Drosophila melanogaster: one gene and its partners. The protein of the gene in region 4 interacts with the protein of the main gene of each other region in a pairwise test. Each region holds a gene or a part of one and is shown on either strand. Other genes may lie near its edges. The genes, in order: CG32548, mid, hbn and CG15262.

The links.
Region 1: the proteins of CG15262 (region 4) and CG32548 interact in a two-hybrid assay, tested with the Drosophila melanogaster proteins (one large-scale study listed by BioGRID).
Region 2: the proteins of CG15262 (region 4) and mid interact in a two-hybrid assay, tested with the Drosophila melanogaster proteins (one large-scale study listed by BioGRID).
Region 3: the proteins of CG15262 (region 4) and hbn interact in a two-hybrid assay, tested with the Drosophila melanogaster proteins (one large-scale study listed by BioGRID).

The regions. Positions count from the first base shown.
Region 1 is NC_004354.4:18,435,216-18,442,175, forward strand, and holds CG32548 (uncharacterized protein), read right to left. Parts: upstream 5,367-6,960; 5' UTR 5,194-5,366; coding exon 4,975-5,193; intron 4,862-4,974; exon of another isoform or gene 4,760-4,861; coding exon of another isoform or gene 4,601-4,759; intron 4,548-4,600; coding exon of another isoform or gene 4,479-4,547; exon of another isoform or gene 4,452-4,478; intron 4,046-4,451; exon of another isoform or gene 3,996-4,045; coding exon of another isoform or gene 3,681-3,995; exon of another isoform or gene 3,653-3,680; intron 3,019-3,652; exon of another isoform or gene 2,937-3,018; coding exon of another isoform or gene 2,289-2,936; exon of another isoform or gene 2,275-2,288; intron 2,086-2,274; exon of another isoform or gene 1,913-2,085; coding exon of another isoform or gene 1,787-1,912; intron 1,587-1,786; coding exon 648-1,586; 3' UTR 504-647; downstream 1-503. Other genes in the region: CG6290 (uncharacterized protein), read left to right, coding at 2,289-2,936; CG32551 (uncharacterized protein), read left to right, coding at 3,681-3,995; CG43841 (uncharacterized protein), read left to right, coding at 4,479-4,547, 4,601-4,759.
Region 2 is NT_033779.5:5,459,945-5,467,649, reverse strand, and holds mid (midline), read right to left. Parts: upstream 6,012-7,705; 5' UTR 5,733-6,011; coding exon 5,546-5,732; intron 3,832-5,545; coding exon 3,381-3,831; intron 2,431-3,380; coding exon 2,145-2,430; intron 1,757-2,144; coding exon 938-1,756; 3' UTR 40-937; downstream 1-39.
Region 3 is NT_033778.4:20,954,880-20,962,770, forward strand, and holds the start of hbn (homeobrain), read right to left. Parts: upstream 6,031-7,891; 5' UTR 5,709-6,030; coding exon 5,552-5,708; intron 3,967-5,551; coding exon 3,660-3,966; intron 3,511-3,659; coding exon 3,381-3,510; intron 897-3,380; coding exon 809-896; intron 583-808; coding exon 35-582; 3' UTR 1-34.
Region 4 is NT_033779.5:15,296,208-15,299,901, reverse strand, and holds CG15262 (uncharacterized protein), read right to left. Parts: upstream 2,095-3,694; 5' UTR 1,956-2,094; coding exon 639-1,955; 3' UTR 535-638; downstream 1-534.

The DNA of each region.
Region 1 (6,960 bases), on a different chromosome or scaffold from region 4:
AACAATCGAAGTCCGTCGCCGTTGCGACTGCGACTGGCTGCTCGGATAAATGGATCCGCCAGTGGGATGTACGATGGCATGGGACGGATTATATTAACTCTATAAACAGATTCAATGGCAGCAATTGTGTGCCAATGCGAAGGCGGTCCGTTCAAAGCAATATTAATGCATTTATTGCACGTGAGCTCGGCGGCGTGTTAAAGATGAGCGTTGCCGATTAGGAATGACCCATCATTAGCCATGATGAATCTGGTAAGTGGGGCCAGTTAACTGACCAGCTAGATTCCACGGAGCACGTGCCGATGGTTTATTAGTAATGAAATGCTGTTGGGTCATATAGGATGGATTTGGGCTAATTAAGCAACTAACTAGAGTACATAACTCGAGGCCAGAAGTGCACATTCAAACTCTTCTTCAGGCAAATCTAACCCTCGTAACTTCGTAAGCCATAATCACCATTTGATAAGCCTGAAATGCATCCACCCCTCTAAAAACCAACAATTATCATCACTTACAAAATTTATTCTTGCTTGCCCTAAACAATTCCTCTTATCAAATACCACGAAAATTTACGCAAAAAAAAAGGTGTGTGAAAAAAAAATGAAAATACTAGTTTTGGAAGTCCTTGGAATAACAGCTCATCATCATTAGAAGCTGTAGTTGAGATTGCCGCTTGAGAAGCTCACATGAGAGACGTCCGGCGATTGCTGGTAGGTGGGGGATCCCAGCACGGAGGACATGGGAACGGCCATCCCATAGCTCTGGCGGGTGGTGGGCGCCAACTGGCTGGTGGCGAACTGATGGGCCACCGACTGCTGCTGGTCACGGAGCACGTCCTGCTGCTGCTGCTGCATGAAGCCCATGTGCTGTTGCGTGGAGTAGAAGTCTCCACTTGCTCCCCCTCCCAGACTGTTGGAGCGCAAAGGCGCTGATCCGATCACTCCTCCCGGGATGACTCCAACTGGACCTCCTCTTACTGGACCTCCGGGCACAATGGATCCGGATGCAAGGCGCTCGGGCTGCAGGCCATTGTTGCTGAACTGCGGCCGACGGTAGGCGAAGCGGCCAGCTGCGTTCTGTGCTGCCACGCCCGCCGGAGCGCCTCCCACATCGGCGGGAGCAGCTATCTGGGGGGTTTGGGGTTGAATCTGATGAGCCGGTGATGTTAGGCCGCCGGATACATCGGGATAGTAGTGGTAGAGCTTCTGCAGCAGGTGCTGCTGCTGCTGCTCGAACTCGGCTCGTTGGCGCTGATAATCGAGGAAGGCGGCGTGCATCTGGTCCGCATAGCTGGGCATGTTGACCACGCCACCGCTAACGCCCACTCCTGGTCCGGATGCAGCTGCTACCTGCGGCGATGTGGCGGCCAGGAGTTGCTGCTGCTGCTGCGCCAGGAGCTGCTGTTGCTGCTGTTGCTGCTGTTGCTGCTGTTGCTGCTGTTGCTGCTGTTGCTGCTGTTGCTGCTGCTGGAGCAGCGAGTTGGGCGTGACCTTCAGCTTACCATCGGCCCGGAATCCTGGCTGCGAGTACACGGCAGGATACTGCTGTCCCGACGGCGAGAATCCACCAAATTGCGTGGGAGTTTGCTGCATAGGTTAGAGGAATAAACGGATGAGAATGGAAGCTAAACCAGGACAATTTTATCCTTATTCTGAACTGGCTTAAATGATATTTAGATGAGTGTCTAATGTGCGCAAGTAGTAGGCCGTTTTCGATGTGTAACTTTTGATTTCGTTTTGTAAAATATTCATACAATTGAGCTTATAACACGCTTTCCTTTACTCACGGATGAAAGGCCACGCCCGTGATTCTTGATAATTGAGTGCTGGGAACCCAGGCATCCCTTTCCCCACTGTCCCTCCGCGTCAGCCAATCGACTGGCGTTGCCCCCACGAACTTTGCTGGATCTCATGATTCCCTGTTGTTCCGTTTGTCGCGATGTAAACTTAAAAGTTTTGACGAGAGGTTGTGTAGCTCGAGTGTGGATAGCCAAAAATTGATTTTCAAATTCAGATTTTGATACAATTTGTTTACGAAGTCTGTAGCGGGAAAAATTGTAAAACGAACCGATCTGAACCGACTGAGCGAGCAAGTGATACTGACTGGATAGCTCAACCAGTCCGGTGACACCTGACAGCTGTCGTCGGGCCAATCCGAAAGCCTACTGTGATCTCTACTAGCCATCGGTGCCATGGTGTGGATTCAAATCGATATGTATCGAAGGGAATCACGCGATTCGATGGCTTAAAAAGCGCGGATGCAATGCCGCAACCTTACAGTTAGAAACGATGAATCGCCATCAGCTGGCACTTCTCCTGGTTGTCGCGGGTCTGGCCATGATTGCGGCCAGGCCAGGTCCACAGAATCCGCTAGAGTCGCTGGGCATGGGCGCCATGTCTCTGGCCGGAAATATAGCGGAGGCAGTTCAGAGTGGCGCCGCCATCTCCCGCGACGTCGACATTGACAATCCCCTGATGTCCGTGCACTCGAAAACGGCCGTTGGCTATGGAGATGCCATACGTCCCATTGCCACCGATTCATCCGAGGAGGATCGTCGTCGGAAGCGAAGGCGGCGGAGCCTGCATCGCCTCAAACGCGCTCCTTGCTTCTGGAAAATGAGCGCTGCCGCCACCACAGCGGCGTCCGCCGACGATGACGTGGAGGCCAGACGGAGACGAGCTCAAAAGCGGGCCGCCAACAATGCCTCCCGATCCCGAGTGAGTCCCAAGACCACTGGCAAAAAGAACAAGAAGTTGGTGCGACGACGACGGCAGGAGGAGAAGGGCATGGAAGTGACACAGAATATGGACGGAGCGGATCCCTTGGGCCTGGGCACCAGAATCAAGGCCATGTGGCTTTCGTTTGTGAACAACGTAGCGGATGTGGTGCAGCAGGTGCGCCAGAAGATCACCGAAACGGCCAACTCCACGGCGTAGAATCACCGAGCTCCCTGACGACCACCATCGAGTGTATTTTTTTTGTTTGTTTATAAGTGCAATAAAATCAACTGAAAACCGGAAACTGTGTTGAGCGGCATGTTTTCTGGGTTGGCCAAAAACATTACGATTACGTCTTCATTCAAATATGTACTATAGATTACATCCATTTTAAGACCCCATCATATTATCAATGTAGTAGCCAATTAAGGCCAATCACCTTTGGTAAAAGGTGACCCCAAACGGCATTAGAGTCAAAAAAAACGTGTACTCCGTCTTTAAACTACAAATGCTTGTGAGCTCAACTAAACATATCACCAAGGTGACCCAAAACTTGGAATCCGGTTACCATTTTAAAGTGGCATACCTTTAAGAACTCAACCTTATTTGTTGCTCTTTAAAAAGGTCACCGCCGAAGAGTCACCCCCAATCGATAAAGATTCCTCAGGCAGAGGCAATAAAGCAAAAAGCGAACTGTCATTTCTGAGCAATCCGATCGAAAGTGGTCCGAGGAGAAGGCCATTGGGGTCACCACAGCAACTCGACTACTGAAGGCTGTCCAGATGGGAGATACGGAAACGAGCCGAGTCACGATGAGCCAACGGTCAGTGGGCACTTCCGGGCCAGATGAGATGCATCTCGACATGCATTTCGAACATTTCCGTGTCTGGTCGAAATCTGATTGAATTAAAAAGGCTGGGTACAAAAGGCGCATTCAGGTGGCTGGGCACAACAGTTGGCCAAATGATTTCCGGACCCAGATTCTCTGCCCTACTAATCGTGGCCCTGACCCTCGCTCTGGTGGCCCAAACTTGGGCCGACGAGTTCGATCTGGACTACTCCAACGAGTACGACGATGTGCGACCGCATTTGGTCTATCCCGACGATCCAAGGCTGGACAAGCGGATCGGCGATGCGGCGCGGGAGTTTGGACAAAATATAACCCAAGCCTGGAACGCGATGGTGGACTCGTTTAAGAACTACTTTGAGGAACTCAAGAACCTTTTCTCCGACACCACGGATCTCGATTCACCCAATGAAGTATTTTCTAACCGCTGAAATGGGCGTTTTACTTTCGTTTCGAGCAAATAAAGCGTAGCAAAGAATTTAAAACATTCATTTGATTTGGGAAATATCATCCGTTGAAAGCCAACTTGATTGCTTTTGATTTAGGTACATTTCCAAGCGGGTATTTATAATTATTTTTTGAATACTACAAAATGACAATACTAAGTAATATGGTATACATCTGCGGATGATAACCAATTAGGCACTGAATGATTCGGCTTAAAATGCTTTTCCAACCAACAAAAATGAGATTTTTTCATCTCTGGTTTAATTAGATCTGTAAGCCACTAAGCTAATTGCCAATAACAACCTCGCATGCTAACTAAACCAGATGCTAGATGTTGCATCTAGATTATGTAAACATGAAAACATATCTGTTTTTCGCGTAATTAAGCAGAATAACTAGAAAGTGACAGGTTAAATAGCTGGCTTTCTTCTTGGCAATCAATTATTGGGAAGTGAAGCCATCACAGGATGACATCGCCTATTTTAATCCTGAGTCTAGGTCTGCTCCATTGGAGCATTTCGCCCGTCTGGTCACAGGTAAGATACTTCGTACTCGTATCGTATATCCTTGATACCCAAATTCCCTGCAGAATATGCCCACTGATGTGATGGACGCCGTCGATCAAATGCAGGAGATCTTCGAAAACAATATGCAGGGCCCACAAAGTTCGGAGTATGGTGACGGGACATTCAATGGAACGCCCTTTCTACCCGAACAAGCATCGAACATCCAAAACTTTGGCGGTTAATTTCAATTCGAATTCCAATTCATAGTACTACTCTAAAGCAACGCCATGTGGCTAAATATTAAATTAAATTGAAGAGTGTGTCCGCAACTTTTTCCCTCGTATAATTGTTATCCAGTGTTTTCTTAAGCAATTTTAAAATTCAAGTTTAACTTTATGTGCTTTTCCCAGAGTTTCAATAGTAGATTCACCCCTCACCATTGCCGTGATGTACTTACCAACTGCTCCTGCTCCTGCGGCTGCTGCAGCTGCGGCTGCTCCACCTGCTGGTTCTTGGCCGCTCCTCCGTAGTACCGGGTGAAGGTCTGCTGCACTCCGGGCGTCTTCAGGCTGTAGGAGTTCGAGTTGGCGTCCGTGTGGATGGAGACCTGTGCGCGGCACACCTCCTGCTGGCCGGCAAGCACCAAGGCCGCCACCGTCAAGGCCAATGCGAACATGATTTACGTGGTGAGGCTAATGGATGGTTGATGGCTGGATGGCTGGATGGCCTGGTATTGGAACTCGACTTCGTCTCCCGTTGATTTGGCAGTATGTCCGAGCAACCGTGCAATCGGACTATGGATCGTTATCAGCTAAGCGGACGCGACTCGCGAACGTCGATGGTTGACTGTGCAGCGCCCGCCGACTGTCCACCGATTTTATACCGCCTTCGATTGGGGAATGTCCACGCTTGGCTCTCTGCCTCTGCCACTTCAGTTTTTGGCCCCAAAAACAGCGTACATGCATACATATTTTGGCCATAAAGTTTGGCCCAAAAAATGTTGTACTCTTTACGTCTTAAATGTGTGAATAAAGTGAAGTAAATAATAGTTGAACCAAATTTGAAGATAATAATAGTCTCAATTTTCGGTTTATGAAGCACCTGAAAAATCATATTTTAATAACACTTATAGAATAATGACTTCAGTTTATCATTAGAGCGAAATATTTCACGAAGTTAACTTCTCAATAATAGGTTCAATCTAATCATCCATTAGATTATTTTTTAAAAGGTGTCATTTGATTTTCTCTGTGCAGTTGGAAAGTATTATAGCTTCTATTCGAAATCGTTGCCTGAAATCCAAGATATCTAATGTAATCCAATTGAACTGCTGTGCCTTCAAGTTTTTTTCTTTTTTTTTGACAAAGCTGCCCTACCCTGTCGCGTTTAATATAATTTTCCATAATTTCAATTTCGATATATATTTTATTTTAATTTTCACCCGCATTGTTTTGTTTCACATTTTGCGTGGATAACTTTCTTTAAACTTTGGTGTCTGCCTGCGGAATATGGAATAAGCAATAACAACGGCGGGGAGGAGTGTGCAGTGGAGGGTGTAGATGTAGATGGCAATTCCAATTCCAATTCAAATTGAATATGCTCTTTGGCACTTACATAACAATCCGCCCCCGCTGGGCGAACGGCAAACTAAACATAAACACCGGCATAAAACGTTGTTTATAGGAACGTGCCCGGAATGCGCGATATGTCCGAAAAGCGAAACTTGCAAATGCCGGCTACACGGTGCGAAAACGAGTGCGCCTTCAGACCCATCGTTCTCTAAACGCAGAGCATGATGAAGTGAGAAGACTAGTGGGCTTTTGTCGCTGTGTACGAATGGCTTTAGCCACCAAGATACGGAAGCGGGGTTAAGGCCAGAGTAAGAAGCGAAAAATCGGCTCAATTGGAATGCAGTTTTGATGGCCCAATGAGATTTGGCCCGTTGGCAGGGCAACGATTATTATGAAAGCAGCAAAGACCTGGTGGTGGTTAGTGCGTAATGGTCACTTAAGCGCGCGCTTACCTGCCACCGTTGCGTATACGTGATACGTGATCGTCATAAATTTATTTGCGCATTTCATTATGCGGCGTGTAATTGAAAGCGCATTTCACACGATTGAAAGTTGTCTGTCCCCGACTGTCTGCCTGTCTGTCTGTGTGTTTGTGTGCCTGCTGACCCGCATTACCCCAATAAAGTGACCCAAACCGAGTTCCTAACTTAATGTGCCCCGGGGTAATGGCCATAACTTCTCCTTTCACTCCGGCTGCATTCCTTGGGGCTTGGGTCCTATCTATCCATGTGGGGTCGTACTTTCCGTTTCCGTCCGGGCGTGTTTTCTCCATTAAAGTTGACTTTTCCGAATGAAATGCTTGTCGTTTTACGATTACCCCACCATAAGCCATCAAAATAAACAGCGCAAATTATGCAAAAAAGAAGGAGACC
Region 2 (7,705 bases), 9.8 Mb from region 4:
TCGAATAAAAATTCCAATTAAAAAAACGTTGCTAGTTTTGGTTCACATATTTTTATTTATTTTTGATTGGTTTTTGTATGTTTGTGTTTTTTTTTCTTCATATTTTTCGTTTAATAATTTTTGTTTAAATATTTTTCGTGTTTTCACTTTTTTTAGCGTTCACATTGAATACATATTATGGTTTTACTCTCCTTTAATTTATGCTAAATAAATCTTTACGTTTTCGCCGGATAAATATAACTAACTGAAGCGTCTATGAATTTACTGTTAATACTATGAATATATCATTATATATAATAGCATTACTAACGATTTATGCTTACACTACATAGCTATATATAGTTTACAATCGTGCAGCGTTTTATTTATGTATATGTATATTTTTTTGTTTTGCTTAGTTTTTGAGTGAATTTCGTTCTAACTTTACACTGAGATGAGTTTTCGAACAACATTTAAACATTTGTACAATAAGTTAAACTAGATTACAAAAATTGTCTAGGGGAAAGTGAGAAGAACTGTACAGCTTATACATAATTTAAGATTTTTACAACAAATAGAGAAAAGTTTTTCTTTGCCTTCATATAAACAACAAATAATTTACAACATTCAAAAAGATGGCTAACCTTTTTTGTGTAGTTTTCACTGGGCTTAAAGGTCGTCTAAATTGAAAAATAAAGCTAAAGTTTAAGCAATTTCATTGACTGAAAAGAAACTCAGCAGTAATATTTGCCAGAAACGATCTTTTTTATAAGAAATCATATCGGAAAGCAAAATATTGTATTAAAAACTTTTTGACGATTTTTTTTTTACGTTTTTTTTTAAAGTATTTTCTTAGTATTCCAGGAACTTTTTTGCATTTAAGAGACGACCTTTAACCCCAGTGCTTTCACTTTTTAATACTGCTCGTGGCAAGAACTTGGTGGCGTGGGCTGTTAACTTAGTGGGCGGGGCTGCGTGAGGCGTTTACCGCGGGTGGCGAACCGGCGGCAGAGGAGGGTGGCCCCTGACCGCCTGGCAGTTGGTACGGACTGAACCGCTGATACTGGCGCGGTCGCATATCGGGCGACGGCGATCCCGACGACGTCGACGAGGGCGTGGATGCAGTGGGCGGGGGTGGGGGCGTCCGGTTGGCGGCCATCGCTGCGGCTGCCGCCTGCGCCTGCGCTTGGGCCTGAGCGGCGGCTTGAGCGGCGGCAGCTTGCTGATTGGCGCTGGCCAAAAAGCCGGCGGTAAGTTGGGGCCACTGCTGCTGGAACATGTGGAAGGCGCCCAGGCCGGGGGGTGGCGGAGGTGGTCCGGCTGCCGCTGCTGCCGCTTGGTACATTTGCGGCATCATCAGCTGGGCATAGGGGGAGTTGCCGCCAAACATTTGCAGATGCTGGCGTGCCTTCTCGAACAGCGCCATCGAGGAGGGATCACCCTGAGCGGCAAACTGTTGCATCAGCGGATCGGGAAAGAGGCGCAGTGGCGAGCGGAGCTGCTGCTCCAGGAGCAGCGCCTCCATCGGATCGCGATCGAAGTCGGTGAGGCGGGAGGAGTCGCGGAAGCCCTTGGCGAACGGATTCGAATCGATCTTCAGCTTGGTGATCAGCTGATTCTGATAGGCCGTCACCGCGGTGAATACGGTTTCCGGGAATACGTAGGTCTTGTGATCCAAGTCCTGCAATTCCTTGGGATTCGACGGAATGCTCTGTCCATGGCTCAAACGCACCAAATGAATTCTGGGCTGGTAGCGATGCATCGAGTTCAAAACGATCTGGAAGGGAATAGAAAAGAGGGAAAAGGTTTCATTGTAGTAAGTCGATTGAAATTTACATAGCTGGGAATTAGGAAAGTGCTTAAATGATTGAAAGTTATCTTTAATATTCTTTAAAACTTTTCATAAATTAGATAGAAGTATATTGTCCTAAAATTCACTTCTTGAATTGAACACGAACATTTTCCATTTTCACAGCAAAGCAACATTAATCAACGATGGTCTCTAGACTCGCAACTTGGCGAATATTTCTTCGTGTTGCAAAATTATCAATTATTTAGCACTCGCGGCTAATCGCTACCTCAGCATCTGAATGTCTCAGCAGCCGAGTATCTGCGCATCTGAGTATCTCAGTACCACAGCGTCTCGGTATCTCAAGTCAACTCACCTGTCCGTTCTTATCCATTTCGTTATTAGTCAGCTTCACCTTCTCGAAGGAGATAACTTGTTTGCGGAGCGCCTCGCAGCTGAAGGGACTGTCAGGATGGGCGTAGAGGCGTGCTGGGGGGGCGGGGTCGGCCTTGCCGGCCACCAGCCATGCGGAGCGATGGTAGGCGTACCGATACCGCTTCGAGTCCATGGGGATGATGTCCATGAGGACGGCGTAGCGATCGGCGGGCTGGATTTGCCTCAGCGGACCCGAGAAACTGACGCGCACAGTGGGGAACATGCGTCTGGAAGAGGTAACAAAGTTAAATTAATTCGATTAGATTTTTGCTTTCATTGAATGCTCCCTTTTTTTGGGGATTGCTATTGCCACACAGCTAGTTAAGTCGACTATTTATGGCCCAGACACTGGGGCTTCAAGCTGATTTTTTCCCATATTTTCCTTTTCGATTCTCCCTGCTTTGACAAGTGCAGACAATGAAGACAAAAGCGAAACTCTTCCTTCATTTTTTGAGTCACAAACCTGTGTATCCCTCTTGTCTACATCCTGTGGTTTAATGTCCCTCCAAAACCCGGTGACATAACCTCCGGCCAAAAAGGCCAAAGGCGGGCATCGGGGACCGCCCTGATGTCTGCGACTCCGAGGTGTGATTTTTACAATATCATTAAGGTGTATATATATCTATCTATATGTGTGACCTGTGTGCGTGTGGTCAGGTGTGTGGGAGCAAAGGTGTGGACAACCCGTGGTCATTTGGATTGAACTTGTTCCCATTCTCCCGCTGACAACAGCAACGCCCATAGCTCTGATTTTCTCATTTTCTTCCTGCGCAGGTACACAAATGTTTCCTTTTTTTTTGCACAGTTTCCCTTTTGGAGGAAATAGACCCCACACATTCACTCAAATGGCATGAAATTTTTGTTGACACTGCAAAAACCATTTGGCGAGCCAATTTATGGGCAACTGACTTAGGGTGAACATCTTTGATGATTGAACACGCAGACACTTGATTGTTCAATAAAGAAGTTTTGCGGAAAAGTGATGAATGCAAAATATTTTGTGAAAAGAGTATATGTTTGGGTAATGCCATTTGGCAGCAACTTTTACCTCCCAAAATCTCCCACGTTGCTCCACCATTTAAAACTAATGCCTGTTTGCACTAAACTCGACTGACTGACTGATGGTTGGATGGATGGCTGGATGGATGGATGGCTTGTTGCTGGTTTGGATGCTTACCTGCCCGTTTTGGTGATGATCATCTCGGTGCCGAGATCGTGAAAGCGATCCCACAGCTCTTTGGTCTCCAGATGGCACTGCACCGGCTTCAGATCGTCGCAATTGCAGGAGCCGACAATTTTGGGTGCCTTCTGCACCGGTTCCGGTGTTAAACGCTCCTCGCTGTCCTCCGTTCCCGGGGATTGGGGCGGTGTGGAGCAGCGTCCTTGGCTGCTGGTCGAGCTGGTGTTCAGTTGGGATTCGGCGGAAGCTGTTTGTGCCACGGCGCCACCGCTGTTGCGACTCTTGTGTGCCACATTGTTGTTGTTGTTGTTATTGTTGTTATTGTGGTGGTGCTGGTGATGCTGGTGGTGCTGATGATGGTTCAAACGACGCGCCTTAGTCGGTGGCTCCTCGGCATCGCTGCAGTCGACCACATCAACGTCAACCTCATCCTCCACCGAAATGGGACCTTAAATGACACGAGAGGAAAAAGCGAAAATTGAAAATTAAATCTGAATTACACCGTTCGTTTTGGAGGTAATGCAAATTAAAATGCAATGCACATGGGAAAAAGCGTTAAGTAAAATCTCTAAATTGAAGCCTTCAATATATTTGGCACTAAACACTTTAAAGATCACAATGTTTCCTGAATTTTTCATCACTTTTTCCTTCATAACTTGTGCGTCTTATTAACGATTTTTCCGTTGTGCATTTGGCCAAAAACCGAGGCCGTGCTTCCGTTGACAACATTGAGTGGTGGAGCTGATTTCGCGGCAGACAGCGTGGAGTCGTCTCATATTCTTGGAGTTTCCGCTTCGCTTCGCGTTTCAATTGCAATGAGACAGTGCGACGACGACCGCTGGCTTAATTGTCAAACTGAACACAAATCGGCAATTAAACAGCCCGAAACTCTAGCTGCGATTGCTCTTTTCCATTGCATAAACAAAAGCGGAGGGCTTTCGTTCAAGGTGTGTGCGCAAAAGTTGATGAATAATATTTTTGGGCTTATCCATGGGCGAACTCTCACATACGCTTTCCATTTTCCATAAGCCGAAAATGGTAACAAAATGATGGGGAGAACTAAGCAGCCCGGTTTTTTTGCAGGTGAGCCCAGACGGTAGGTGTTAAAATGCAAAGTAAGCAAACGGAAAACGGAAAGCGACCACAGAAAACAAAAAAAACAAAACAAAATATGAAATTAAAAAAGCTGCATATTTGATAAAGAGATCGTAAAATACGAACACCTCGTAGCGTTTTTGTTTTGATTTCGGCCGTCGCTAATTTTCTGCGCCTCGTAAAATTAATAAAATGAAGCACATTGTTGAAAATTAATTAACATAATTAGCAGCCTTTGTTAAATATGAATTCCGCGCGATTAGATGCTGTGCACAATTTGCATATTATCATAATATCGGCCACAAAAGAGCGCTGCAAGTGTTTGCTAACAAATATCTGGATTCGCGATCTTTGGCTCGACTTAATTGCGAATGCCGTCGGCCAGAGAGAACTAGTTTTTTCTTTTTTAACGTGGCCGGAACGCCTGCTAATTGTCATTAGCAATTAAATGGAACTCTGCGCACCCAAAGCGACAACAGTAATTTAATAGATTTGTTGTGCAATCAATTAGCGATTGTCTTGTGGCTAATAATGTTTGCATTCGCTGGTCAAGTTTGCGGTTCTCTTCTTGGGCGTTGAGTTGTTAATCACGTTTAATTTGAATTAATCGTATAAAAATTCCATTTTTGTTTTAGCAATTTCTAGTTATTGTGTGCTGGTATGTTAAGTAAGTTTTTGTACAGAAAGCACTGCTAGGAGATAAGTGAATATCTAAAGTTACAACTACCTACTATGATTAAAGATTGTTGAATTAGGGAACTTATAGCTTGTCAAATGAAGTTCTAAACAAAAGTACCCTATGGTATTTGAGACTACAGAAATGAAAGTATCTTAAAGATATTCTACATCTCATCAATGAATCTTGCTGTAAGTCTGTTAAGCCTAAAAAAATCTTGTTTAAAAATCACTATATAATCGAAATGCTTAATATTCAAGGCATTAAATTTCTAATGCATAAAAATATATTTTTAAGAACAAATTGTTCCTATCAACCGATTAATGATTCTGCCGCTTCCCACAGAATTCCTTTCTTATTAAGGATATTTTCAATATGTATCTGAACTTACTTGCACTGCGAATGGAGGACTCCCGACTGGAGGCATCTTCGCGAGCCATGATGGCGGCGATGGAAAAGTCCGTCGCTGAGCCGGCGGCACTTTTGCTAGCCGTTGTTGTTGTCTGTCCACTGGCATTTGGTGCTGCAGGGGCGGCGGGCACCCCGTTGCACAAATACGGATGAGATCCAACCAGCATTTTGAAGGGTATGATGTTGTTCTTAATGGGGCTTTAACTAGGGAATACCTTGGAAAGGTATTGGGGTATTGTATCTGGTCACTTTTCAACACTTGGCACTTATAAAGCTAGATGCATCTTTAGCTTTGGTAACTCGAGGGGTATGTGTATGTTTCAAGGTGTAAGTATCTTGTATCTTTATATCTCTCTTGCTTTCTTTTGCTTATCTTTGGCGCACGCGAACTGAGAATCTCGCGGACTGAGTGTGTGCGCAACGGAAGGCAGGCGACGACGAACTGAATTGTGTCAGGAAAATGTTGCCGCTGAGAAGCCAAAAACGACGGCAGGCGCAAAACTCGGGAAACCAGTTATTCCTCTTATGGTCCCTATGTGTGCAAGCGAGACCACCCTACAGCGAGCCGCGCCAGTACGAGTGCAAGCGGGATAGCCCTATAGCCGCACACTCTGAGTGAAAACGCCACTCGCTCTCTCGTTTTCCAATTGGAAAATCGGCGGGGGAGTGAACGTGCGACAGAGAGAAAGGCGGCGCTGTCAGCAACTTGCGCCCCTCTCTTTTCTTCGCCTCACCTCTCTCTCTGACGAACGCGTCATAACTCATTTACAATTAAAAATGTCGGCGCTTTTGGCCTTCTCCCTCGCACCTCTCTATTTCTCCATAGCGAGGTCTCTTTCTTTTTATTTTTGCCTCTCTTTCTCGCCCATTTATGAAGTGCCAACGTTTTGCTTGCGGTTTTTCTTGGTCTTTTTTTTTAAACAACTTTTCGCCGTTGTCGTCGCATTCCATTTCCTGTTATCTCCTCTTCTGACGTTTTCTTCCATCTTCCGTCTGTTCCATTTCGTTTCCAACACGTTCCGTGTCTCACTCAATTCTGTTTTGAGTGAGTTTTATGTCTCTGTTTTTTTTCTGCAGTTGCATCCCGTTGTTTTTCCTTTCTTATTTATCTGCAAGGACATGGACCTTGAGTCAAGGTTATTGCAATGGGACGTTGGGAATTTATTAGTTTGAGCTCGAGAAATTTTTCTGTGCTCTAAAAACATGAATAAAGAGTGCGAAAATAACTACAAGTTTATTTAAAATGTATATGCAATTTGAATTTATTTCGGTAAAGGGAAGAACATATTTTAAACAATTCGCTTAGTACATATTATAGAAGTCCATTTGAAAACATAGTATATCTATAAGCATTAGTCAAGACATTTTTATTTGTAAAGCTATATTTTTTTATATTCAAGAGGATATGATCATGAAATTTAGATTATGGCGATTCAAAAAGTTAACAGGGATATTTTTCCGTTAGTAATTATATACAATTCCACACGCTGTATGATAGAAGCTAGTCCTCTGGAAAATTCCCCCATAATATTTACAGATGTCAACAAATTGTTATGTTTCCCAGGCAAAAGTCAAGACCTTTGTCAGTGCCAATTAACCCGCTAAAAAATGCAAAGAAAATGCGGCTGCGACAAGGAAACTCGAAACAACTGACAGTTCGTCACATTCATTACGTATTGCTCGGATTGCCAATTGCCATGACGGAAATCCTGCGATCCTGAAAAACGGAACGCGGAGATCCAAACTAACTAACAAGCTGACTAATCCCGCTTATCCTGTGCGAGGAACAAACCGTCTTGTTGTGTGATTTTTGTAATTTGAGACATTTTTTAAGTCGGGTAGCGACAAAGTGGGCATGTCACTTTGACACTTTCGCCCTGGGAGAAATGGTGAAAGTGGACGGGGAGGGATGCGTCGTGTGTGTTCTGGTTACAATTGCAGTTAAGTTGATAGCTATAAAATGTTTTATCAGCATTAACAAATTCAAAAGCAAAACGGACGATAGCATTATAGATTGGGATAACTTTAAATACAATTTTATGACACAAGAACGCTGGTTCTAAAAAGTAGAGTGCATACTTTGATTCTAGAAAAAGGTTTACACTTCCTTTCATAAAAAGAGCCTATGTTCCTAATATGT
Region 3 (7,891 bases), on a different chromosome or scaffold from region 4:
GTACATAACGAATCCAAATATCACGGAACAGCGTTCAGTCCTCGCCCTTGGTGACCACGGAGACGGGTGTGGAGGCGTTGCTGCTGGCACCTGCCGCGCTGTTCGGCGATTGGGCGGCCGTCGAGATCAGTCCGCCCGTTAGCAGTCCGCCGCCTCCGTTGCCGCCCGCTGGGGGCGTGGCATGCGGCGGTGTGGGATGAGGCACTAGCTTGGGACTCTCGCGCGGACTGCTGTTGCTGCACGGCGGGCTAACTTGGCTCATCGCAGAGAGTCCTGCGTGCAGCGATAGATTCTGCGGATAGCCGGCCGATGCTGCCGCCGCTGCTGCAGCTGCTCCCGCGCCAAAGATCCCATTCAGATTGCTCAGGCCCATGTACTGGGAGAGCAGGGTGTGGAAGTTGGGCAGCTTGTAGTGGGGCGCCATCAGGTGCTGGGGCAGCAAGCCGGCGGCAGCGGCTGCAGCGGGATTAAAGTGCTGGTGGAGGGCAAAGTGCGGGGGCCAGAACTCCGACTGCATCGAGCCCGGATGACCCGGAAGTCCATGTGGCGGCAGGGGAATGCCCAGCGGAAACTCCGGCAGACCTGCAAGCGGAAGGCAAAAGGGCGATTTCGTTAGTCGAAAGTCAGAGAGAGCGGGTGGTGGCGGTGGTTATGGTGGTGAGACAAGCGACACAAGCGACATAATTCCTAATTATGTTGCACACGTAATTTGGCAATTTGCGGACAAATCAAATGCGTATCGCTGGTTGGGTGGGTGATGGCTGGGATTTGATGGGGTGGATTCGTGAGATGGGGGTGGTTAACTCACCTTGTTCGGGCAGAAGGTAACCGGCCTTGTCCTGATTCATAAACTTCTCACGTTTGCGCCATTTAGCCCGACGGTTCTGGAACCACACCTGCAAGTGCACGAAAAAGAAGGGAGTTTAGAGATGGAGTTGTAGGTATGCAAATTTTGGGTGCCCTCGGATTTAAGGCTATTATAAGCTAAAGGGGTAATAAAAAACATAAAATTATCTGATATATCATTTACCGAAGAGAGGATATGCCTTTTTCTGACTTATGTATACAACCTGTATACTTTTCAAAAACCAGCATACTTTTCTAAAGGGTATCTATCCCTCGATCTAAACTTGATTAGTTCTACAAAACTAGCGCCTTGGCAAGCGACTTGTAATTGCTTTGACTTTGACCAAAAACCGAACAATTTCCCAATCTATCAATCTGTGTGCTCGCAAAGTTGGAAGCACTTGGTCCTTGGATGGCTCCTTCTGCCGCCTCCAGCCTCGAGTGTCTGAGCCAAAGGACTTGGACGCCGTGGAGGGTTAGGTCAAATACAATGGCATCCAATCGGAAGTGTTCTGCTCTGATTTGCAACGCTCTCTGTCTGTCGCTACCCGTCTCGCTCGTCGGACAAAAGGGTGTCTTATGCATTTTTCGACACTTGCTTGGGTTTGGGGTGGACCAAACTCGCAGCCACCCAAATTCACCCCTATGCAAATGTGCCCCCTAGGCCATCCACAAAATAGGCGTTGGCTGCACATACATTTCCGCCTTTTGGGGGCGACGAATTTTCAGTCCGAGCCGAGGCTCTCGTTTTTGATGGCAAAATTAATTGTTTGTAAATTGAAATCACTTGACAACTGTCTGTAACGCTCGTTGATGAATTCGAGACAATAGAGAAGGCTCTGCAATTATAGACACCCTGTATTTAGATGTAACCCCCTTCTACGGCCACCCACAATCTGCAACAATGTGTGCAGTTGAGCGAGTAGTAAATTAGCAACGATTTCCTTGCTATAATTGCTGCCAATTATTGTCCTGTGTCCTGTGTGTGTCTCTGCTGAGAAAACGCCACCCACCACCCCCAACCCCTTCACAGCATAAGTGCTGTGTGTGTGTGCGATTTTGTGGGCTTTTTAATTGTCAGTTGGCAGCAATTATTATGGCAACAACTTAAACCACTGTGCCAGAGCAGCCAGGCAGTAAAAGTTGAATTGCGGATATCCGTTCAGCATTTATCACACATGTGCGATCAAAACGAGAGAAGAAACTGTCGCAAAAACTGGAAGAGGCGGTTTGTAAACTCAAAAAAAAAATGTGTACTTTAAAAAATTGTATAAGAATTCGTTATTTTGGATTTTCAAATGTGAAAGTTCTTTGCATATATTCCAATTAAAAAGACTGCATAAAGCGTTCAAAAACGCTTTGTTTCAACAATTTCCAGATTGATACAAATTCGCTTTCAATATTTTTTTCGCTTTTTTCGATACCCCAACTCGACAATAAAAATTTGACTTAACCCGGCAGATAAGTCGCTGGTTACTCCTTTTTTTTTCACCAAATGCCCCACACAACGAGCATGCAAATCCGAAAATAATTGCTCACTTACCAACCCCAAAACAAGCGGGGATTACGCTTTGGATACTTTTGTATCTATCAGCAGCTCAGCAAAAAAAATAACACATGTATTAAAATCGGGCAGCTCTAAGTCGGTTACTATTCAAGTACCCGAAACGCTCTGCATATGCGAATCAATGACCAATTACAGTTAATCTGCTAACAGATACGAATAAGTGCAAGGACGCGCAGGATGAGAATGCGGATGTGAGGATGTGAGCATGCGGATGACGACCGTGAAACGGACAATTTGTATTCGAAGCGGGTAATCCCTATGTGAGTGCTTAGGTCAAGTTGTTTCACATTCACATTCTCTTCACTTCTTGTTTTTTTTCACTTTTTGTGCCAGGCCATACTTTTCCCTGCTTTTTTATTCCCTGTCAACAAACAGCATCGAAATTGAGCGAATCGCTCAATCAGATGTGAAGTGTTTGAAAGCGTTTCACAACTGAAATCAAATCGTATGCGATTCGGGGCGAAAGGACACCCTAATTACATGTGTAGTCGGGTATATTTGGCCGCGTGTCCTGCCGCCAGTCAGCACCCAAAGCCACTTTAATTGTTTACCCGAAAGTAGAGTTAATAAAAATACCAACACCATGTGAGCGCGGACGATTTAATCATTTGGAAAATCACAATATCTAATGTCCTTGGTGCCAACCCTCTATAGAGAAAAAGGGACGCGTATTCACCCGTATTCAACCCTCCTCCGACTAACGAACTAAGCGTGTTTGTATACAAAGTGGGGCTTAAGTGTTTCAAAGACCATTTACAAATTGGGTTCGGCGATTGTTTTGCCCGTTCTTATCTAGCCATTCAAGTTCCCAGACTCTGAAAGTGGTTTATTCGCTTATTAGCGGACACTGCGATGGCAATATTTAAAGCCCATAGCCGTTAGATGAAAATACAGATACATTTTGAGCGAGTTGAACTGCAACTTAATTCGAAAATAATTGTGCGAATCGAAAACCAATTTCAATTACCTGCACGCGTGCTTCGCTCAAATCCAATCGCATGGCCAGATCCTCCCTTGTGAAAACATCGGGATACTGGGTCTTCTCGAAGGCTCGCTCCAGCTGATGCAATTGAAATGTTGTAAATGTTGTGCGAGATCTGTGAAAAATCGAAAGGAACGGCAAGGGCGGCACGTTAGATACGTCGGATAAGAGTTTGCCCCCCTCCTCTTTGTTGGCATGTTTTTTAATAGCCCGACAATGGGTAAATACGATTTGATCTGCTAAGCGGATTGTCGCTGCACTCACCTTCGAACTTTACGCGGCCTCTCCATATCGCTGAGATCATGGCCATTGTTCAGACTGGAGGACAGCTCGTCGTCGTTATCCACGTCCAGGCCGCCGTCCGTATTCGTTGGGGAGTCCTCTCGTTTGGCCTGAACCTGCAATTGTTGCTGCTGCTGCTGCTGCTGCGAATGGTGTTGCTGTTGCGAGTGCTGCTGCTGCTGCTGATGCGACAAGTGATTGCTGCCGTTGCTATTGCTGCTGTGCAAATGATGGATGTGATGCGGATGGCCGTGGTGGGGATGCGTAATCAGCACTTCGCTGGGTGTATCTGCGATAAAAAACAAAAAGTGGCAGGGAAATAAAGTTAAACAATTTCGAATTGAACTCGAGTGTGTGGGGAAACAAAAAGTTTCGCGTTTGACTTTTAAAATCGAAAGCCAAACGGCAGCTGCAGAAATTGAAGTTCATTCAATTGTGGCTGAAGTAGTTATATCCTCAATTTTAACCCCCTTTTTTTTGTACGGTCTCAGTCTCGAATAAAATTCAAATCCTTCAAGTGCTCGAAAGCTACGCAAATTGATTTGGCAATCAATAACAAATAAATATAAAGCCGGAATAAGTTTTAACCCCAATACCACGGCAGCGAGCATATAAATATCCTTTCACACGAAACGATTTGGTGAGTACTCAAAACGGTTTCTTTTCGAGCCAAGGCAAAACGTGTAATCAAACTTTAATGAACCTCAAATTAATCGGATTCACAATGGCACCAGGACACGTCCCCGCTCAGCAGGACGCCCGTGTCCTGGTTGTATCCTTATCGTATTTCGTAACATTTACGCAGACCCATGTGGCAAGAAGGTAATTTCCAGCGAGCATCAAATTACGAGGCTCACAGGATGCAGTGTCCTGCGGTGCGCACGCCGCTCGTTGTCGCCAAATTGCAACCTGGACCAATGGGTGCCGTGATTCCACTGAATCCAGCCCAGGCAATTTCCAGCCTCCACCTCTCCCGAGGACTTCAATCTAATTACGGGTCTAATGACGCAATTGCCCGTTCCCGCTCTCCATGCGATATATCCGGCCAGATATGTTTTGATACAGTGTTTTTTTTTTTCTTCTCAAGTAGATCCTTGGGCGAACTGCCTCCTGCAGCTTGGCCACGCCCACAACAAGAGTTCCGACATGCCGAACAACTCCCATTGTCATGATATGTTTTCTTTTTGCTCTCTGGGTGGAGTTCGAGGTCGGTGTTTGTCGGAAAGTTTTGAACTGCCCTCATTCACCTTTCCCAACTATGATAAAATGTCCCTTGCGAGCAATTTGCATATGATATGGATGGCAATGTCAATCTGCCTCTCCACTGCTCCGGCTCCTTTGCGAAAGGATCTATTTGATGTGGTCAGTGGAGTAGGAGGACGGTTCGGATTTTGGAGCACCAAATTTGGGGGGGGAGCCCATTGGCTGTGCATGAAGTCTAACGTGATATTTTGCCCTGCTGGTGGTAAGTTGTAACGCATTCAGGATGTTTTCATTATGTTTAAGATGTGTGTGAGAAATATTTCAAAGCTGTAATTAACAAGCTAGACTAACTAAATAGGTCGTAATCAATTCAAATTATACATTCAAATTTAGAATTTTTAATTCGTTTACGCCTGCCCATAGCTATTCACAAATTAATTTTGATATTGGATTTTTTAAATCAAACTAAGCTAAACAATTTATTAAGATTCTCTAAGAAAATGCAATTATTGTATCTTGATTATGTTTCCTTTTAAGCTTTTTGTGTGATGTACTAAGAAACTCTAACGCAGATCGCCGACGGCAAACGATGAATTTTTGTAAAAAGGATCCCCTTACATTTACATTCCAGTAAGTTATCCCCAGTTTATATTTGTTAAACTAAAACTCACCACTGCGCTTGATCTGGTGCTGATTGCCCAGGATCTGATCGATGCTGTAGACGGCGCGGGGGCGTGAGACAGGACTCTCCTGAACGGGGGCGGGGCGCATGGCTGGCGGCATGATTGGATGGTGCTGATGGTGCTGCGAGGTCGTCGTGGTCATCATAGCTCCACCAAAAGAGCAACTCGCGATCCGTACGGATTTCTATTGGTTTACTTCACTTGCTACAAGTTGGTTTTTTCTTATTTTGTTAGCGATTTTCCAGATTTTCGTTTTTGGCAACTTTTGTTTAATGTCACAATATTTGTTGAGCACGCTTTGAAAATTAGCTTAATTAATTGCTATTATCGGGTAAATTTGTCGATTAAACGATGCGATTTCGATACGGAATACGGAACAGCCACTGCGACGAACTGCAATGAGCTGAATCGAATCGAGTGAATAACTGCGAGTGAGTAGTGCTCGTGACGATCAACAACCACCGACTGAGTGCGATTCCTGCCGCCCGTAGGTTTAAATACGTTGCCTGTTTTTCGCTAGCAAGTGAAATGGGCGAGGCTCGCTCGCTCGCTCTCGAATCCGAATCGGAATCACAGTTCCCAATCCTTCGCTTTCGCCCATGTCCTGCCATGCCAGCCGTCTCTTTCGTTCGCACACGCTCGCTCTCTCCCTCTCTCTCCTGCTGTAGGGGTAGTTTCCCCCAGTATCTCAGTATCTCAGTGCCGTGTATCTGTGTGTTGGGTTGGCTCGCTCGGTGTGTGTGAGTTTGGGTTGCAGGTAGCTTTTGGTTTTGGCTTAGGGGTGTTGGCCTCCTCCACTCTCTCTCTCTCTCTGTCTCTCTTTTCAAATCTCTCTGGTACTTTTCCTTGACACCTTTCTCTTTCCTACCCATTTAATGCACTCTCTTTCGGTAGTTGTAACTAACATGGTTTGCTCATTAATTGTGTTTATTTCACAAATTTCGCTTGTTAAAAACTATTTCACCCTTCCCCCTCTTCCTTTATATATATCTCACTCTCTCTCACAGTAGTTTCCTCTCCCTCCCGTTTCCCGGCTCATCCACAAATCACAAAACAGGTTGAACCACTCACGGGATTGCCAAACTGGTACCTGAATCAAGTCGGCCATTTGCCAGGTCCTCTTTTATTAGTTCCGCTTCCATTTCGGCGATAGATTTATGGCCAGGATCCCCGTGATCTTGAGAATGAGCCCGTGGTTTCATTGAACAAGCCAAACGATCAATGAATCCCTTTACTTAGCAAGGAACTGTGGCAGGATCGAAACCTAAGTTCATTGATTAAACTGATCTCATCTCGAAGGATTTCGGCCGCATTGAATTTCGTTAAAAGCAACAGGTACAGTGCGGAACTGATTTCACTAATGAGTATTCAAATCATTTTAATTAATAGCCAGTGCATAAATACATAATAATAATAATACATAAATAAATTTAATACATATATTTATCTAAATACTATGAAGATTTCCTACCAATCTTATATTTTCTGCATGTTTCCTTTTAATGATAAAAATGTAATATTTTAAGTAGCACCAACCAAAAAGGATCTAAAAATATGTAGGCCCTGGTTTTGCTACGATTAAATAACCGAAAATAGCTCAGCCTTGTTTAAATCACCCACTTAGATCTGGGATTTGCGTTGAGCTTCAGTTTAGACAGGGCTCTCTATCCAAGATTTAGTCCAGAACCCTGGTCCACCCACAGGTTGCATAACACAAAAGGATGCCAAAAATGGCCAAAAGTGGTTCCCGAAAAAAGAAAAACCATCTAATGCCCGAAGGATACATGGTGTGCTAAAACGCCGGCTACAATGATAACAAAGCAGGGACCGGGATTTATGGTCTCTAATTTGTCGAAACTTACACAATTCCTTTGTGCCCCGAACCCAAACAAAGCCAAGGATCGCGGCACCTTCAGCCGGGAAAATCGGGAAAAGTGCACACGTAATTTCCGCGAAAACTGTGAACAAGTAAGCGGGACAAAGCGTTGACCGGACTCATTAATGTGCCAGATGCATGACGCCACAGGACACGGGGACTCAACAGGACGCAGGATTAGGTTTAGTCTGCCGAGGCGCTTAATCATATTTTCATAGGACGCATTCCCTATGCAGATTTCATTCAGCAATCCGATTGCATGTTCGTTTAATTTAGAGCTGCAGAGGGCATCTCTCGAGACTTAGGATTGCGTTCCTGCCCAGATCATACAGCCTCGGAATCTCTAATCTAATGTGGAATGCATAGTGCTCGCCGGCCACCAAAATTTATGCAGCATCATCAGCGCACTTAGTCGTAATCGCCGGCTCATTAGGACTGCTAAACAGAAGAAA
Region 4 (3,694 bases):
TGGCAATTAACTTGGCTTCGCTCCGGCTTTTGTTTTAATAATAAATTTAATGAGCTGCCAAAAATGGTTGCAAATTTACGTGGCAATTAGCGGGCTAAATGACGGCGACACTTGGCCAAGAGATCGTGTCTGGGCGGAAAGCTGCGACTCCAAATGTGCAACTGTCCGTCTGCTCCATTTTGCTAATGAGCGCTGCGATTTTCCTCGTATCTTTGGGGCTTGGCTATGAAGGTGGTGGTGGTGCTGGGTACTCAGTGGTCTTGTGTGGATTGTGGATTTGCGATGGCATTTGGAGGGTGTGGTTGCTTGGATTTTTTTCGGCGGTGGGTCCGTGGTTGCAAGGTGACTAAAACATGGGTTGGTCATCCGCTGGTTAACTTTTAATACAATAATAAATAAATAGTGAATAAATATGAACACTACAAATTCGCAAAAAACACCAATTGATAGAACTAAGAAAACAGGCAACTATATATACTAAATATAAATAAATACATTCCCCACACTGAATTTATTAATAAAACGCTTATGAATATTTATAAAAAATTTAATTTGTTTTTATAAAAAAGATGCTACAGCGTCAGAGAGAATTTTTAAACCCGTATATCCCTGGCTATTGATGACAAAAGAACTTTCTTCTAAATACCCGACATCTGGGGATGGTATCCGTACGTCACATACAGCTCTTCCTTGGATAGAGTGCGCTCCAGGATCTCGGGATCCAGGTAAAAGTGTCGTGGCAGGATCTTCCACTGCCACATGTTGAAGTAATTGTACTCTCCGAACTCCCGGAATCCGTGATATAAGTAGTTGGGATTGTCCGCCTGGCGAATGACCCAGAAATGTTCATACTTGTGATAGCGCCATCCACGTTCCGCCAGTTCAGCAGCCGCGAGCATCTGCATCATGTCGCCAGCATATGTGTAGAAGAAGAAAAATAGGAGCTCATCATGCATTTCCTCGATTTTGGGCTCCTGTAGGCTCATATTTACATTGAAGAGATAGTTCAATGGCAATTTGTAGCTCATCTCCTGAGGAGTCAAACGGGCTTCTTGAATTGGCCCGGTAAAGATCGAGTCCGCGGCTCCGCCTATATTGTGGGCAACATTATTTCCGAATAGAAGCGGGTTCTGATTAATCGATCGCAGTTTCTTGGCCAGTCCCAACATCCCAAAGGCTCCCTGAATGGTGGAACCCGAAGGTTTCGCCTCCACATTCGAAGTCGTTTCATTAGTGGGTGAGCCCAGCTCAAATGTGACTCCACCCAGTGGCATACCATCACTGTTGGTTATCAAGCGGGCAAAAATTTTGCAATTCTCGAATCCGGGTGGTGGTTGGATTGCTGGTTTTGCCAGGGCAGCCCTCTTGTGGGCCGCATTTATAGCCCTCTGCCTGACGCCTTCGAGCAGGAATTGCTTGGTAAATATCATGCTCAAATTTAAACGGAACGGATTGCCGAGATAACCGTACATATGGGGCAGCAACTCCATATTCTGGCGCTTCTCGGGAGCATGGGTTGGCTGACGGAGCACCTCGTTGCCGTTAGCGTTAACGCACGGATCACTGGAATTACGGATAACTGTATTTCGAAATTTGGCGAGTTCGACCTGCTCGCTGTTGCTCATCATGGCTGTCCAGTCGTCGGGCACCACAGGGCTCGATGTCGTTGGTAATGCGGTTGGTAATGCAGATGGTAATGATCCTGGCAGAGCCGGAAAATCTTCGCGAAAGATGCTGAACTCCGGCGCAAGTGGTTGGGACGGTGATGCGGACGGCGGCAACTCCTGTTTGGGCTTATTCTTTACCACATCCACGTACAAAATGGGATATCCATCCGGGGTCTGCAAAGACTCGGGCGATGATAATGGCGATTGGAAAGGCGGAGGAGGCGGCGGACTTGGAGAGCTCTCCACCTCCTGCTGGTCATCCCCAGTATTGTAATAATGACGTTTCATATCTTACTCTGGATTTCTATAAGACTCAGAGCTTATCTCGTAATTTATAAGCGTTGCGAGGAAAAAACACGTGTGGCAGAGATCGCTTTGGTTTGCAATACTATAGCTTGCCAAAATGACATTTGAGAGAGTCCTGATTAACACTGATTTCCGATAAAATATTCGATATAAAGCTTGTAGTCGAATGTGTTTGTGATACATATTCATACGCGAAAATTACTAAAAGTTAATGTGTCAGATTTTTAATAGCAACTCGTTAAGCAGGGAAAAATATAGATTATATAGATAGATTATATAGATTATACATATATACTTAAGTCGTTTTTCAGCTAAAAAACAAAAATCATAACAAACCTGAAACATTGAGTTTACTAATAAATTAACTTCTCGCATTGTGTGGGTGCCACGGAAATTGCCACAAAGCAATTTAAAAGGTATGGTCATAAATTCAAAAAAAATTCACCTGCGCAGCAGCCAAAGGAAAAAGAATAAAATTGTGCATAAAAATAAGAATGAGACGCACAAAAAACGTTCGCCTATAAAATATTAAATAAAAAACTGGCGGGGAGTATAACCCATTAACTTAAACTGACACCATACTAACATAAATCTCGTTCCTTGGCCAAGCAAAAGTCCCTGGGAATTGACAAAAGGAAAAAAACGAAAAAAAAAAGGAAAGGGGAGGGAAAATATCTTGGCTAATAGTCCAAGTGCTCCTGCCCACAAAATGTTGAGGAGCACATGGTCATTTGCCTGCCGCGAATCAACGAACTTGTCCAGCGGCCTCAAGAGTCACAACACTCTTGGGATCAGGTGCACGGCTCCCACTGCTCCTTACCTGTGCTCCCCAAATTAAGCACAAATAATATAAAATACAATAACGTAGAATCCCAGCCGCTGGCAAAGAAAAATGATACACATAATCGCCGCACGGCCAAGTGCAGAATTTTCAGATCAAAAAAGCAAAATACGTTTAAGTTTTAGAACCGTACTTTGTAATACCCTTGCAATATCATGTGAGCTTATAGTCCTTATTTTATATAAATAGATCGTGTGATTTGCTGCTTCATGCTGCATATTCCTTAGGTCATCATGTATAAGTTACCACTTAATATGCTAAGCACAACCAAAAATACAGTACTCCTGGCACAGAACACTTTCCAAATACCCATGTACAGAGTATATAGCAATGCATCCAGATCCCAGGAACGCGACTAACGAAGCCAGCGAAGCCATCACGAACTGCGGGCAGAAGCTGCTCCGGCCACATAAAGTACAATAAATCATACTCATGTTGCCGGGGACAGCGACAAAAGCCGCCTGCTCCGCTCCACGATTCGCAGTCATACTGGCCACGATCACCTGGCACTTGGCCTGGTCCACAGATGGGTCAGGCCAATTGCGAAGCCATTAAATCGCCATGGCCAGGGCCACAGTCGAGGCAAGTGGAGTCTCTAGGCCACGGAGGTGTCAACTGGAGGCGATCCTAAATTGGATTTTGGCTTTCATTTGATTGCAAAATACTCATTTTTGTATTTCAGAATAGGTTTCTCCCGCACCTGACGTATCACGTGACCATTCCGCAAGCTAAGTTTCCTAGATTACCCAGACATTTACTCATTTCGAGGTGATAGCACACTGAAAACTAAAACATTATTCAAAAATACTTACTGCATATATAGAGAGTATTTTTTGGGTGCTTGAACTTGAATTACAAATGAACTTGTAAGCTTACATAT